Notamacropus eugenii: one gene and its partner. The protein of the gene in region 2 interacts with the protein of the main gene of each other region in a biochemical or structural test. Links are inferred from orthologs where the notes say so. Each region holds a gene or a part of one and is shown on either strand. Other genes may lie near its edges. The genes, in order: UPF3A and UPF2.

What was found.
Region 1: the proteins of UPF2 (region 2) and UPF3A form a complex in vitro, tested with the Homo sapiens proteins (2 studies listed by IntAct, with this or other methods). The link is inferred for Notamacropus eugenii from reciprocal best matches to the Homo sapiens genes UPF2 and UPF3A.

Annotation. Positions count from the first base shown.
Region 1 is NC_092877.1:206,134,198-206,141,567, reverse strand, and holds the start of UPF3A (regulator of nonsense transcripts 3A), read left to right. Parts: upstream 1-4,194; 5' UTR 4,195-4,253; coding exon 4,254-4,580; intron 4,581-7,005; coding exon 7,006-7,112; intron 7,113-7,370. UniProt on the Homo sapiens protein: Involved in nonsense-mediated decay (NMD) of mRNAs containing premature stop codons by associating with the nuclear exon junction complex (EJC) and serving as link between the EJC core and NMD machinery.
Region 2 is NC_092874.1:170,054,771-170,062,672, reverse strand, and holds the start of UPF2 (regulator of nonsense transcripts 2), read right to left. Parts: upstream 3,116-7,902; 5' UTR 2,720-3,115; exon of another isoform or gene 2,554-2,719; intron 2,428-2,553; exon of another isoform or gene 2,246-2,427; intron 1,162-2,245; 5' UTR 1,103-1,161; intron 1-1,102. UniProt on the Homo sapiens protein: Involved in nonsense-mediated decay (NMD) of mRNAs containing premature stop codons by associating with the nuclear exon junction complex (EJC).

The DNA of each region.
Region 1 (7,370 bases), on a different chromosome or scaffold from region 2:
CATAGTTGCTTATTTTAGACAGATGCATATTTTTGCCAGAAATTTACCTTTAAAAGAATGTTAGAGCAACTGCTTAGTTTTCTTAAGGAAAAAAATGGAAATTTTTATGGTCACAGAAGCTGTTGCTGTTGAAATGGTGATAACATATGCCAGTTATATGTCTGGTAGAAACCACAAGCTTTTCTTTGGATAAGCATTTCTTTCTTGGGTACTTTTTTGGACAGAAATAAAAGACTGGGGTATAATGCATCCCAAGATGAAGTCATTCACATCTACAGTTGACACTTGGTCAGGAGTTAATATAACTTTGTTTTGGTCGTGGAAATTTAAGATACCAATATCAAGAAACATTGACAAAACCAATTTAGTTTCCAGAAAACATCACCATCCTTTAAGCTCTTTTCCCTGAAGGAGGAAGATTCCGCTGGTGCTCCTCTTTTAATTGCTTCTTTTAAAAATAATTCATTAAAATGTATTTTAAATGGAAAGAAACTATGATATCACAGGCATATTCAAATCATATTTTAAGATTGGGGAAGAAGAGTTTGGTCTGTGAGGTCTAAAAAGAGTAAATTGTTTCATAATTATTAACATTATTAATAGCAAAAAAAAAAAAAGGCAGTTAAAAAGGCAATGTGATAAATGGAGAGGAAAGGACGCAGGACTTAGTTTAAAGGCCTGAGTTCAAACCTCTGTTATGACATTCAAAGGGTGTCCCTATACAAATCACTTCTTCCTTGAGTCTCCATTTCCCCACTGTAAAATAGGGATGGATGAAAGCATTATATAAGCCAGGAATCACAACACAAACATGAGTTGCCATATGTTTTTTGGGAATTGAGATTATGAAGACAAAATAAACTCTTTTGCTTTCCCAGCCATTGTGATTTCTCCACCACATTGTCCGACAGGACTTGCAAAAAGTTCCTTGTCAAGAAGCAGAAGCAGAATTGTCTCATTCATTTAGTGGATTTGTATGAAAACTGATAAGATAACTTAGGAGAAAGTAAAGCATAAACTGGCTTAAGAACAGCTGGCATGACAACATCAATAAGCACCTAATATATGCTAAGCATTGTACCTGGTTTCCAGAAATACAGACAAAAACATTACCTGACCTCAAGGAGCTTAAATTACATTAGAGGAAACCTGTATATATAGAGAAGCATGTGCAAAGTAAATATAGTAAATATATTAAGTCATAGGGTCATAGATTTAGATCTGGAAGAGACCTTAGAAGCCATCAAATTCAGTCCCTTGATTTGACTGGTAAAGAAACTGAGGCATAGAGAGGTTTTAAATGACTCCCAGAATCACATGGTTATTACATGTGGGAGGCAGGGGTGGAGAAGAGTAGCACTGAGTCTAGCAATTTATCCACTGTGCCATCTTTGCACCCTGGCTTTCTTAGAAACCCAGAATAAGCCTGACCCCCAGCTAGAGGTTCAGTGACCTTGGTTTACATGGGCATGGTGCCCCCCACTCTGAACCCTTTCCCCTCGTTATTTAAAACATGCTTGTTTCCAAAGCATTTGATAAGTAGCAGCATGAATTCTGTCCTCACAACGGTGACTTTTCAGAATACTTCCGCACCTGTCATTTAAGAGGACCTGGGTTCAAATCCTGTCTCTGCTACTTGTATGACCTGGAGCAAGTTACTTGACTTAACCTCCCTGGGTTTCAGTTTACTCACTGGCAGAAATGAGGGAATTGGACCCAAAGACCCTTCTAGTTCTAGTTCTGTGATTCTCATCAAGAACTTGAGAATTTAGCTTCTCATAATAATGAGGCAGTTAAATTAAATACAGAATATTCACACTAAAAATATTTACCCCTAGCATAGACCTGGAAGGGACTCTAGAGATCATTTATTTCAATCCTCTCATATTACAGATAATGAAACGTAAGCAGCCAGAGGAGTAGTGACTGGTCAAGGGCACAAGCAAGACTTGTTCCTTGGTCTCTCCTCTACAGGCACTGCAGGATACTTGAAGTGTTAGCTTTTTTGAAAGGGTAGTCTGATCCATCTATTCTTTTAAGCTTTTTGCCATAAGACCAGCAGTAAAGAAGAAAATGCTTTCACTGCTCACTTCTCTTTAGATACAACGTGATTCTTTTCCATGAAGTGAGCATATCAGACACTTGACCGTTCAGAGCACTTGAAGACATTTCTTTTTGAACTCTCAAATCACTCGTCCATCAGGTTATGAAGGTTGTGTTTGGTAGGCAGAAAGCCTTAAACAAGTCTGCGTTGTGGCTTGGCGATTTCATTTTTATCAGTATTCAGTGATCGGAGATGAGCTTTCTCTTTTCAGGTTCGTTTATATCAGTATTTAAAGTCACCCACAAATATTTATTTAGTTTCACCAGATAGTGCTGGGTTCTATTAAGGAACACAGAGGTATAAGACAAATGTCTACCTTCCCAGAGTATACAGTCTAGCTGAGGAAACAAAACACAACAATAAAAGTCGTGACTGCACAGGAGCGCCTGGTCCACACCAGAGTGCGCCGCTCCTTCTCTGGCCTCTTAGTCCTGTGCACGCTTTAATAGCTAATTCAAAGGACAGCTCCCCCAGAAGTCCTCCCGTGGTCCTTCCCAGACGGTCGTGGCGTTCCGCACTTCAGATTTCCTGCGGTCCTTTGTCTGGACCATGTTTGTGTCTGTACCCTGACCCTCTGCTTCTGGGTCGGGGAGCTACGTGCCTGTGTCCGTGGCACGGTGGAACATCCGCGTGCACACACGCCAGACGGTGCGGGGAGAGGGCGCTGGGCAGATTCGCCCCTCCGAGCCTCGGCTCCTCCCGTAAAGCTGAAGGAAGGCTGCTACCGAGGGCTGCTGTGAGCTCCCTAACCCGAGGCTGTGCTCGCAGGCGGCCCTTGTCTGTCCCGTCCGCGGTGCAGGCGCTCCGCTTTCACCTGGGGCTCCCCCGGTAGCCGCTCTGTACACGGACGCGGCCACGCAAACCTTCGTAACCCCGCGTGGGACAGAAAAGGGACGTTTTTATAGGGTTCTTTCGCTGACAAGATGGTGGAGCTGAGAGAACGTGAACTTGCCGTCGTGGGGACGGCCAGCGTGTGCTGCTCCCCGGGAGTCCCTCGTTACTTCCCACCTCGGACACGAGAGCCAAGGTCCGGCATCGCTTAGCGCCCCGCGGGGGACGGTCGCCTCCAAACGACCCACCCCAAGCCCGGAGCCGAGTGGGGACCACTCCAGCGGCCGCACGTTTGGAGAAGCCCTCCTCTTTAATTTGGGGCCAGGCGAACCCAGGTGCCGTGAGACTCGGCGGGGCGGTTCCGATTCTGTTCTGCAAGAAGGCTCGGAGCGCTTCCGCGGCCCCGGACCCTCCTTCGTCCGCGCGCCTCTTGTCCGGAGGGAGGTGCTGGCAGTGCAGAGATATCACTGCCGCAGACGCTGGAAAGCGTACTTGTAAAGATGACCAAAGCATTTATTAGCAGCCGCCTGTGTACAGGAAAAATAAACCGGTGGCCTTGATGTTTCTGGACGGCGCCCCCATGGTGGGCAGCGCCTGAGCGCCCCCTGGGGGGCTGCTGATGGCCATGGCCGTGGCTTTCCGGTCAGATGGGGGGGCTCGGGAGGGGGGGGCGGGATGCAGGCCTGAGGACCTTCCAGGGAGAACATGGGCTCGTTCTTAATACCCGGATCGCACACACCGAGGTTCCCATTCTGACAAGCCCGAGGCTTCTCTGCATTTTGATCTTTAGCCCCGCTCTCCCGGGGGCCTTGCCATTCCCTCCCCTACAGCCCCGAGCCAAGCCCAAGGACCCCGCACTCGGTGCGGGCGCAGCCCGAGCTCTGCGGGGGTCGCCTGGCCGGCCGCCCACGGCTCGGGAGACAGCAATGCGGATAGAGCGGGAACGTGCCTCCGGGTCCTGCGCGCAGGCGCACCAGCCCGCCCGGCCCCGCCCCGCCCGGCCGCACCCCAGCCCTTTTCATCTCCATGGACAGCGGCACCTCCGTGGTCTCGCGGTCCGCATCCCCTGAAACCGTCTGACCCCAGGCCTCTCTTTTCCGACGCGCTCCTCCTTCCCCCAACTGCCCTGACTCGTCCGTGTCCGCTCCTTCCCTCCATTACAAGGAAGGGGTGGACGGTCACCAAGAAGCACGGCTGGCGGGCGGGGCCGGAGGGGGGGGGGGGGGGTAGCGCGCGAGCGTAGGCGGAGATCTCGCGAGTCTTCCTGACACTCCCCGAACGGGCGGGAGAAAGAGCCTGAGGCTGCGGCGGGTGCGTGATGCGGTCCGAGAAGGAGGCAGCCAGCGGGGCCGGGGGCTCTGGCGTCGGCGGCGCCGGGCGGGGATCGGGCGGCAAGGAGAAGCCGCCATTGCCGCCGCCGCCGCCGCCGCCACCGCCACCCCTGCCACCGCCCCCGGCATCTTCCCGCGGAGGGACAGCGATGGAGATCCAGTTCCGCCGCGAGTCGCCTCGGCGCGAAGCGGAGACGCCTCCGACCGCCGTGTCGGCCTCGGGCTGCGGGGGTGGCGGAAGCAGCGGCGGAGGCGGCGGTGGCGGAGGAGGCGGCAGCAAGCCGCGGGAGGAGAAGAAAACGGTCCTGAGCAAGGTGGGGGGGCGCCTGGGGGGGAGGGGCGGCCGGGGCTCGCGGCCCGGGGTCGGCGGGGGAGGGTCTCGCGGCGGGAGGAAGGGACTGCGCGGAGGCGGCCGCCCCGGGAGGAAGGAGGAGGGAAGGAGGGACAGCGGACGAGCTTTCAGGACCGGGGAGAGCGCCCCGAGCCCGGGGCGCCGGCGGCCGTGGAGGAGGGGCGGAGGCGCAGCCCGGCGGGGCCGCCGTGGGAGGCGGCCGCGCGGGGGGCCGACCACCGGAGCCCCGGGCGGTCCTTTCCTCGTCTCCTCCCGAGCGTGACTTTGTTCCCTCCCTTAGGGCGAGGTGGAAGTCACCTCAGACATTTGGACTTGTAATTGTGTTTAAAATGAAAGTCGAACGTCGTTCCCCGGCGCCCCGCACGGTGGATATCAGTGGGCGGCGTGGCCGCTCCTCCCCACCCGCGCCCAGCCCGCAGCTTCACGAATGCGCGGGGCTCCGGGGACCGACAGACAAAGGGGAGAGACGCTCCGCCGGCCCCTAGGGGGCGGGCTGGCCCGGTCCGCCTGACGTCACCCTCCCCACGCCTCCTGCGGGAGAGTGGAGGCTGCCTGGGGGCAGCCCGGGGGCAGGGTCGGACTCGGAGAAGGCTGGCGGAGAGTTCGTGCTCCGCAAAGCGGTAAGTTCTGATCGACCCAAGAAGAGCTGCGAATGGCGGCATGACCTGAGAATGCGGCTTTAAAGTGACCGTGGAGAAGAAAACCGTCCCCGAAGAATGGTCCACTCATGCACCTGAGGATATTTTTAAGAGATGAATGTGCTACAGAGAACCAGAATAGTTACTTACAATGCAGGCTGGCTAGTTAAAAAAAAGAAGCCCAGTATTTCAGAGTTCCGAGGACCCAGGCTGGAAAGGGTTACGGGGAGGCGGCAGTCCAGTCCAGCCTGTACCGAAACAGGAGCCTCTTCCCCGACCTCCCGTAGAAGTCCTTCGCCAGGAGGAGCCTGAAGATCTCCACTGCCTCCCTAGGCAGTCCATCCTGGTTTTGAATGGTTAGGAAGCATCTGTTTCTCTCCGTCTTGGGTTGTTTCTAGTTCTGCCCTCTGGGCTCAAACGGAACAAGTCTAATCCCTCTTCCACAGAGTGACCCTTCAAACACTTGAACACCAGGTCTCATACATCTCCTAAGTAACCTCTTCTCCAGGCCAGGTGGCTCTGCTTCCTTCCACTGAACCTCCTATCTCATTCTTTCTCATCTCTTCTCCATCTTGATCACCACGCTGACCACTGTGTTCCATATTTACTCTTAACCAGGGCAGGCTACAGCGGAATGGCCTGCTTCCTGTTTGATCTCTTTTTGTCTTCATGCAGCCCAGAATCACACTGACTAGTCTGTGTATGTTCATCTTATTCCAAGGCTGTATGTGCCTAAATCTAGTTACCAACAAATACACTTTTAATTAGACTATCTTCTCTTACTCTGATCACCTAGTATTTTCCAATTTCATAATGTAATACAAATAAATGCATGTAGAGTGCAGAGAATGACAATTTTTTGTTGAAATAAGAAACAAAAAGTATTTTGGGGAAAGAAACACCTTGCAAAATAATCCTGAATTGATTCAAAGATTAGAAGCATCAAAGGAGCTTGGGCAGGTTACCTAACTCTCTGGGCCAAAGTTTCTTTGTCATTAAAGTAAAATTAGATGACCTTAGAGGTCACATATAATTCTAAGTCTATGGTACTGTGATCCTGTAAAGGTCTTGTTGGGTTGAATGGAAAGTGGATAACATTTTATATCTTCTTTCCAAACAAATGGAAAACCTAAATGACTAAGAGGACTGTTGAGAATTCAGTACTTCATATTTTTTGATTCAGTGATTTTTGTGTAAATGTTGGTAGTTATGTCCAGTCTGTAGCTATTATGCATAAAAAAGATACCTGTGTCTATTACAGAGGCAGTGTGGAATGTCGGATAGGGCCCTGAGCCTGAAGTCTGAAAGATTGTATTTCAAATCCTACCTCTGGTACCTGGGGGTTAGGTGCCCTTGGGCAAGTCTTTTAAACTCTTCTATTTCATAGTCTTAGGCACAGATCCTTCAGGTATTTATGTACTCTGTCCTGGCACAGAGCCTTCTTTAACAGTCTATCTCTTCTGTAGTAATGAAAAGGTTATAGATAGAATTCATTACTTAAGGAGACGTCTGAACCTCACTGAACAGCAGTGAAGTGTTTGTTTAAGCAACATCATCAACAGATTTGGAGACTAACAGCCTCTCTGCCTCTCATCTCCTAATACAGTCTTCATCCTTTCCTAAAATTTGTTGTTTTTGATTAACTCATAATCTGGACAGGAGCTGAGTCTATTTTATACGGGAATTAGAATGTAATTGGTACTTAAGAAAAGTAGTAAGTTTAATAACTTTTTTTCTTGTATTTTTCAGGTAGTTATTCGTCGACTTCCTCCCAGTCTTACCAAGGAGCAACTGGAGGAACAGTTACATCCACTTCCTGCTCATGATTACTTTGAATTTTGTACGGCTGATCCCAGGTGAGAAGGACCTATTTTTCAACACAAAGAAGCCAAGAAGTATATTGTCCAGTAATGAACAGTTACATAGAAAACAAAAATTTCTCCCCCTTCCTATAACCCCTTTCATATGTGTTCACAGTTCACTGTGCATATTTTCTGTATAAATTACCACTCTAAATTAGTAAATCATTTTTTTAAGCATGTGTTTCTTCATATATATCACTAGATAGTCATTTATTTCAGTTGTCCTGGAAGACATGGGAATGAATTCTTCCT
Region 2 (7,902 bases):
ACATACGTACACACACATATATCTTCAGGGCTTAGCACAGTGGTTGGCACATAACCATTTAATATATAATAATAATATTTATAATTTAATTAATTTGGTAGCATGATTTAATAATATTTAGTAAACATTTTTTCACTTACTTGTCCTAGTACTAAAAGTTAATATTTAAAATGAGTCATTAGCAAATTTACCTACTACAAAAAGTTCAGATAAAAGCTCAATTATCTATATAAACGAGATGGTGGACAGAAATTTTTAAGCACAATAAAAGTTTAATCAAACTTTTATTTTAACTGGAAGGGATCTTGGAAATCAACTTGTCAAACTCCTTCAATTTTAGCCCAGGAGATAAGAGACCCAGGGAAGTTAAAAGATGACTAAAGCCAGTTAAAGGTGCAGTACCAGAACTAAAACCTAAGTCGCCTGACTTCCCATCCAATGCTCTTCCCACTATACTAATTTATCTCCCATATTTAGAAAGTCAAGTGAAAAAAAACCCACTTGATCCAAACCAAGTGTTGCTTTAACATTTTAGCTTAAAAAAAAAATTCACCCATATACTACATTACTTTCCATATATTGCTGAAATTATTCTAAGATTCTGTAATTCACTACTTAGATCAGGTAAAAATGCTAGAAAAGTTTACAATAAGTATTAAAAATAACTGAAGAAAAATGTTAAATCCTTTTACTGAAGCAGCAGAATGATCATGAAAATAGAACTGCATTGTCTGAGAGCTCTCCATTCACAAAGGCAGTTCAGAACAGTGGAAAGAAATTTGGAGTTGGGACCTGGGTTCAATTTCTGCCTCTGCTTCTAGTACTTGTGAGAATTCATATAGCTCTTGGGGACCCAGTTTCCTTAAAAAGGGTTGAATTAAATGACTGTTCTATCTCTAAATCTATGATACAGGTACCAGTATTATTCAGGTACCACTACTATTATCCATGTCACCCAAAAATGTCTTTGGTACCTGGTTTCTAATAAAGTATTTGAAAAGGCAGGTTTTCCACTTGTGAGAAGACAGCCTAAAGTAATGGAAAAAGCATTGGTCTGAAAAATCAGAGGACCTGGTTCAACTCCCAGCTCAGAGATACTTACTAGCTAGTTATGTGACCCTGGGCAATGTCTTTAACCTTTCTGTGCCTGGGTTTCCTCATCTGTAAAATGGAGATAATAATTCTTACATGAGGAAAGTACTTCAAAACCTTCAAGTGCAGGATCAAAGTGAGCTATTACCAACTGTGGACAGGGAAGTCTTGAAACATACGTATTAATTAACATTTGGAAGTTATTACTTTGCTAGCATTCACTCAATAGCACAAAGCACCTCACTACCTACTTCCCTAGAAGGAACAAAGAAAATATGATAGATATCATTTTCCTTTTGAGAACTGGATTACAGGTTAAAATATAAAATTAGTGCTCTAAGAATACTCTTTAGAAGTCACTGAGAGAATATTGGTTTACCTTTGTTCCCAAGTTTTCACCTTCTTCTAGTCTAAGGGTAGTATTTGTACACAAGCCCAACAAATCTGCTTCCTGCCAATAATTTCTATACGTTAAAGAATAACAGCAGTCACAAGAGTTTATTTAAAAGGGGTTGATTGTGTGTGTGTGTGCGCGTGCAAGTGTCACCCATGCTAGTGCAATGTAAAGGTCTTTAAGTTCCCCCCAAACTTCGACACTTAACAAGACTAGAACAAAGTCCCAGCCGATAAAAAGAAGGGGGAGTCTCTCAGACTCGCTTTCGATTCTCGAGTTATTCCGCAGAGCCCACTTTTCCCTCGTAGGCCAAGGAGGGCGAAGACGCTCCAAGATAAAGGCGGTCCATGGGGAGTCCTGCAGTGACAGACCTTCCTAAGAGCACACGTCTCGCGGAGGCCCTCGGGAGGGCAGGGGGTCTCCCCAGGTCAGCCCAAATGGCACCTGCACGGGCCCCCGCACGCCCCGACGCGGCTGTCCCCCAGCCCGCTCCCGGCTCCCGCGCCTTCTCCCTCGTCCTTGGGCCAGGCTTAGCCCCGGCAAACTTTGTTCTCTTTTCCCACTCTCCTCCAACACCTCGCTTCACTCGTGGCCCAGGACACGGGCACCTCCACCTGCTCACACACCCGCCGCACACCTCATGCCCACCCCGGCACCGAGACGGCTCGAAGCACTCCCGTCCCCCAACAACCCCCCCCAAAGAAAACCGAAAATCGCCCCTCCGCTCTGCCCCTTCCACGCCCCCCAACTCCCTCGGACCTCTCCACCTCCAGCCCTCGGCCCGGCCCAGGCTCCGAGGGGCGCGCACCCCCTCCTTCCCCTCCTCCGGTGGGCGGGGGCCGGCGGAGGGCGAGCCCGTCGCCTCCGTCCCTTCCGCGGTCCCCACAGAGAGCTAAGGTATGGGGGGTGGGGGGAGGCGCCTTCTTCGTGTCCCTCCCCCCCCCCCCCCCCGCCTGCCCGCCCCAGGGAGCTGGGAGGGCAGGTTTCCCTCCCTCTAGCCCCCGCCTCCTGCCTCCAGGGCTGAGGGCGAATGTAGAGAGGGAAAAGGTTCCGTCCCCAGTACTCACCTCTCGCCTGTTGTCAACATCAGCCCCGCGTTTCCCAGCACCAACTCTACCGCTCCGGCTCTCCTCTCTCCCCTCCCCCCCTCACCTATCTCCCCGACGAGGACCCGCCTTCCCCTCGGCTCCCCCTCCCTCCCCCCGCCCGCTGGCCCTCCCGCCCGCCACTCACCAACGCGGACCCGAACTGCGGGTGGGGGCGGGGCGGAGGGAGGTGGCAGGAAGAAGCTGTCCTCGCGATTGCCTGAACGAAAGTCTCCCGGCCCTCCAGCTTGCGGGTGGTTACCCACCACCCGCTCCTTGGTTCCTAGATGGCGACCTTCAGGTTCTCTACGGAAATCCGAACCACCCCATCCTGACAAGTTCAGGTTGCTGCCTGGGAAGGGTCGAGAGAGAGACAAGTGGGATTTTCAGACAGGCGATGTCCAGGACAACCTCCTCCACCTCTCTCCACCCACTACCACCTCCTCAACCCGGGGCCCCAGCAAAGGAAAGGAGGAGCGTTCTGACGGCTGAGAGACAGGAAGTGGGTTGGTCACCAGGAAAGGGAGAGCAGGAAAGACAAGTACGCAGGCGCAGCCTCACCTAAGGAGGGGGTGAGAACTGGGACATGAGGCCCTGGGTGGGAGGAGTCAAAAGCAACTACGGGACAACGTTGGGGACAAAGTTGAAGATAGTTTGATAGGAACTTAAGGGTTAAGGTTTGAAAAGAAAAAAGTTTAGTGACGGTAGGAGGAGAAGAAAGATCTGGGCTTTGGGAAGGGAGTTACTCATTGGAACATAGGAGATATTGTAACAGATTTAGCTCCCTAAGGATTCGAAGGGAAAGGGGCGGCGAAAATAAACAAAGGAATTTTTAAATCTTCGCCCAAAAATCCTCCACTCTCCCAAATAGGAGGAGTGTCAGTACCCACGCCATTCTTGGAAAGAACCAGGTTAAATAGGTTTGTTTCTGAAAAATTCCCATGAGACCTCCCTGGCCTATCGAGCATGCTCACGTCACCCCTTAACTTTTGAAAAGCTTTACGTCACCTGACCAATGTCCTGGTTTCAGGGAGACTTGAGGAAGCGAAACGTCTGTTATGAGTGTTGGAGTGCCTTATGAAGGCACCTTTCTGCGCTTTCAGTTCTTAACTTAATGGTGGGATTTCCAGCCTTTGGCTGTTTGCAGTGTCATATTTAATTTCCCAACAAACCTTCCCTATTGTATTAAAAGTGGTGTGTACATAAAATGACCGGGTTCTGCAGTCAAAAATGGGAACACGATCTATGAGGACAATGTCCGATCAGCTATGCTGCTTTTGGACTTCTTTGGGTCTTTCCACCATGCTTCAAGAAACTCATCTGTTCCCCAACTGATAAATGGTCAAAGGATATAAACAGGCAGTTTTCCAATGAAGAGATTAAAACTATCTGTAGTTATGTGAAAAAATGTGGTAAATCACTATTGATTAGAGAAATGCAAATTAAAACAACTCTGTGGTACCACAGCACACCTATCAGATTGGCTAATAGGACAAAACAAAAATAAATGTTGGAGATGTGAGAAAACTGGAACGTTCAGGCGTTGTTAGTGGAGTTGTGAATTGATCTAACCATTCTGGAGAGCAATTTTCAGCTTCCTTTTGTGCTTCTTGCCCCATTCGATTGTATACTCCTTGAGGTCAGGGTCTATCTCTGCAGATATTTGTGTGCCCATCACTTAGTTCAGTGCCTGGAACATAGTAAGCACTTAATTTATTGACTAGCAATGATGGGGCACTAATGATTTTTCCCTCTCTCTCCTCTTCCTCCCCCCAAGATGGCATGCAATCTGATATAGGCTATATAGACTTGCACAGTCGTATTAAATTTATTTAGACGTTAGTCATGTTGGGAAAGAAAAATCTAAACAAAAGGGGAAAACCACGAGAAAGGAAAAAGAGAGAGAGAATAGTATACTTCAATCTGCATTCAGATTCTGTAGTTTTTTCTTTGGATGTCAATCATATTTTCCAACATGAGTCTTTTGCAGTAGTCTTAGATCATTGCATTGCTGAGGAGAGCCAAGACCATCAAAGTTGGTCATCGCACAATGTTGCTGTTACTGTGTACAATATTCTGGTTCTGCTCATCTCACTCCACATCGGTTCCCGCCTTTCCAGCTTTTTCTGAAATCTGCCTGCTCATTATTTTATGTTTTTTATGTATACAATTGCATTTGTATACCACAACTTGTTCAGTCATTTCCCAAATGATGGGTATACCCTCAATTTCCAGTTCTTTGCCACCACAGAAACAGCTCCTATAAATATTTTTGTATATATGGTTCTTTTTCCCTTTTTATGATCTCTTTAGGATACAGACCTAGCAGTGGTATTGCTGCATCAAAGGATATGCAGTTTTATAATCACAATATTCTTTTTGCTCATTTTCACCTTCCTAATGGAACCAACCCTTGAAACAAAGATTTAAAAAGAAACAAACAATAAAAAAGACTGTCAAAACTAACACACTTACTCTTTTTTGGACAATATATGCAATATTCGTGCCACTTACTTCCTACAAGTTACTACTCCTCTATCCCACTTCAGCCGCACACTAATATGGGTACTATTACCCACAAAAGTACTACATCTTTGTTCCAGAACTCTGAAATCTCCATATACAACTATAAGCCATTGGCTTTTCACCTTTTCCTCTGCCTTTCCTTACAAAATATTACTCTTTGTCCACAGAGTAGCCTCCAATCCCTCAGCCCCTCAATTTTTTCTCAGGCTATCTTCTCTGCATTCACCATTCTTTCTTCTTTTCCCCATCTTTTCCCCTTGGTGAAGCAATTCAACTCTACTCCGTCTTCCTCTCTTGAATTTTTAATCCCCTTATTATATTACTGATCACTCCCACCATTGCTGAGTGAAGGTGGAGAAAATCTCACACTGATTCTGACTGGATCCACTACAAATTTATGTTATGTTTATCTTATTCGGGTTTTTACTGCTATTGAGCCATCCTATTATACTTCCCTTATCAACCCTCTATCCCACTCTCCAGAGAAGTTCTTCCCAACACTTATCCCTTCTTAAACTTCCCATGGCCTCCATTCCCCCCCACTTTCAGCTGAGAACCGTGCCATATATTTTATAGAAAAACATCGAGGCCATTTACTATGAACTCCTTCTTGCTTCTTCCTCATCCCCCATCATTGAGGTGCTTTTTGCCACTCAAAATCTTATACAATTGAATATTGACAACTATCTTTACAAGTAATTAGAAAAAATGTACTATTAAGTGGGGAAAAAGGAAATGCCACAAAAAATATAATTTTCATAGCCAGTGAAAACGCTTGATATCTAAAGATTAAGTGTCTTGAGCTAGGAACAGTGAAGAAGACAGTATATTCAATCACAGAGTACGTTGGTGGGATGGGGCAGCTAAGTGGTGCAGTGGATAGAGCACCAGTGCAGGAGTCAGGAGGATCTGAGTTCAAATCTCACCTCAGACACTTGACACTCACTAGCTGTGTGACCTTAGGCAAGTCACTTAACCTGAATTGCCTCATTCTAGGTCATCTCCAGTCATCCTAAATATCTGGTTGAATATCTGGTCACTGGATTCAGATGGCTCTGGAGGAGAAGTGGGACTGGTGACCTGCACAGCCCTCCCTCACTCAAAACAAAGTCAAGTGCAAGTCATGTCATTATTTCTCTGATGGCATGGTCTTCTTCGGCAATGAAGGATGAACATACACACACACACACACACACACACACACACACACACACGCATATATACACATAGCCACTCACACATATATATATATGAAGACCGTACTAGGCATATTACTACTTACCATCTATTTCTCTGAAGGTGTATAGGATCTTCATAAGTCCAAGTCTTTCCATGTTTTTCTAAATTAACCAGCTCATGATTTCCTACACCACAACAATATTCCACCCAACCACATACTATCTGAAAGATTGTCTGTGAAAGTTTTTCCCTCCTTTTCTATTCTTGGCTGCATAGATTTTATTTATACAAGAAAATTTTAACTTAGAATAATAAAAATTATTTATTTTACACTTCAACAATGCTCTCACCTTATAATATAGTTTAAGGTCTGACGCTGCTGAATCAGCATCCTTTACATCTAAAAAGAGGTTCCTGACCTTTGGTTCTCTCAAATGAACTTTGTAATTCTTTTTTCTAACACTAAGATAATTTTTTAGTAATTTAATTGAAATGGCACTAAATAAATAGATTAGATAGAATTGTCGGTTTTTTTATTATATTGGCTTTACCTACCCATGAATGATAAATATTACTTCAATTTTTAGATCTGACTTTATTTGTATAAAAAAAGTTTTATGTTTATGTTCATATAGTTCTTGTGTCTGTTTTGACAGGTATACTCTCAGGTATTTCATGTTGTCTAGTTATTTTAAATGTTCTAAAACAATATTGCAGACACATAGTGTAATTTCCCTATCGTTCTCTTTTAATTAGATCTATTTTGGCTTTAAGTTTGTCTGAGATCATGATTGCTACTCCTGCTTTTTTTCATAATGCATTCTGCTCAGGCCTTTAAAAAAAAAGAATATTATATTTAAACAAAAGGAATCAGATTTTTGTGATCACTAGAGAAGGGTGGCAGGGTTAATTTATACCCAAGCTAAGCAACACTAAGTTAAAGTGGAAGCTGGAGACTGAGAGTCTAGAACAACACCCTGAAAACCCCTAGCAATCAATCAATCAATTAACATTTATGAAGTACCAGCTATGTGCCAGGCACAGTGCTTAAATAAGTGCTTTATAAATATCTCATCTTATCCTCTCAACAACTCTGGGAGGTCAGGATTATCATTATTATATTTCATGCTATTATTATTATTCCTATTTAACAGCTGAGAAAACTGAGACAGGCAGACATTAAGTGACTTGCCCAGGATCGCAAAGGTAACAAATGTTTGAAGATAGATTTGAACTCAGGGCTTCTTTACTCCGGGTCCAACACTCTATATTTTTTGTGCCACCCAGCTGTGGCTGGAGGTGATAATTGAATCCATGAGAACTGATGAGATCACCAAATAGAATAGCATAGGGGAAAAGAGGGCTCAGGATAGAAGCTTATAGGAGGACACTCATCCTTAGTGGACATGGTCTAGATAAAGAGCCAGGAATGAATGATGTCTTAACCTAGAGAAAAGAAACTATGGAGGAAAAGAGGGTGATTTACTAGTGGCAAAGCCTAAGGATAGATCAAGGATTGAAGAAAGGCCATTAGATTTGGCAGTTAAGAGAGCATTGGTAACTTTGCAAAGAGCTGTTTCAGTTAAATAATGAGGCTGAAAACCAGACTGCAGAGAATTAAGAACA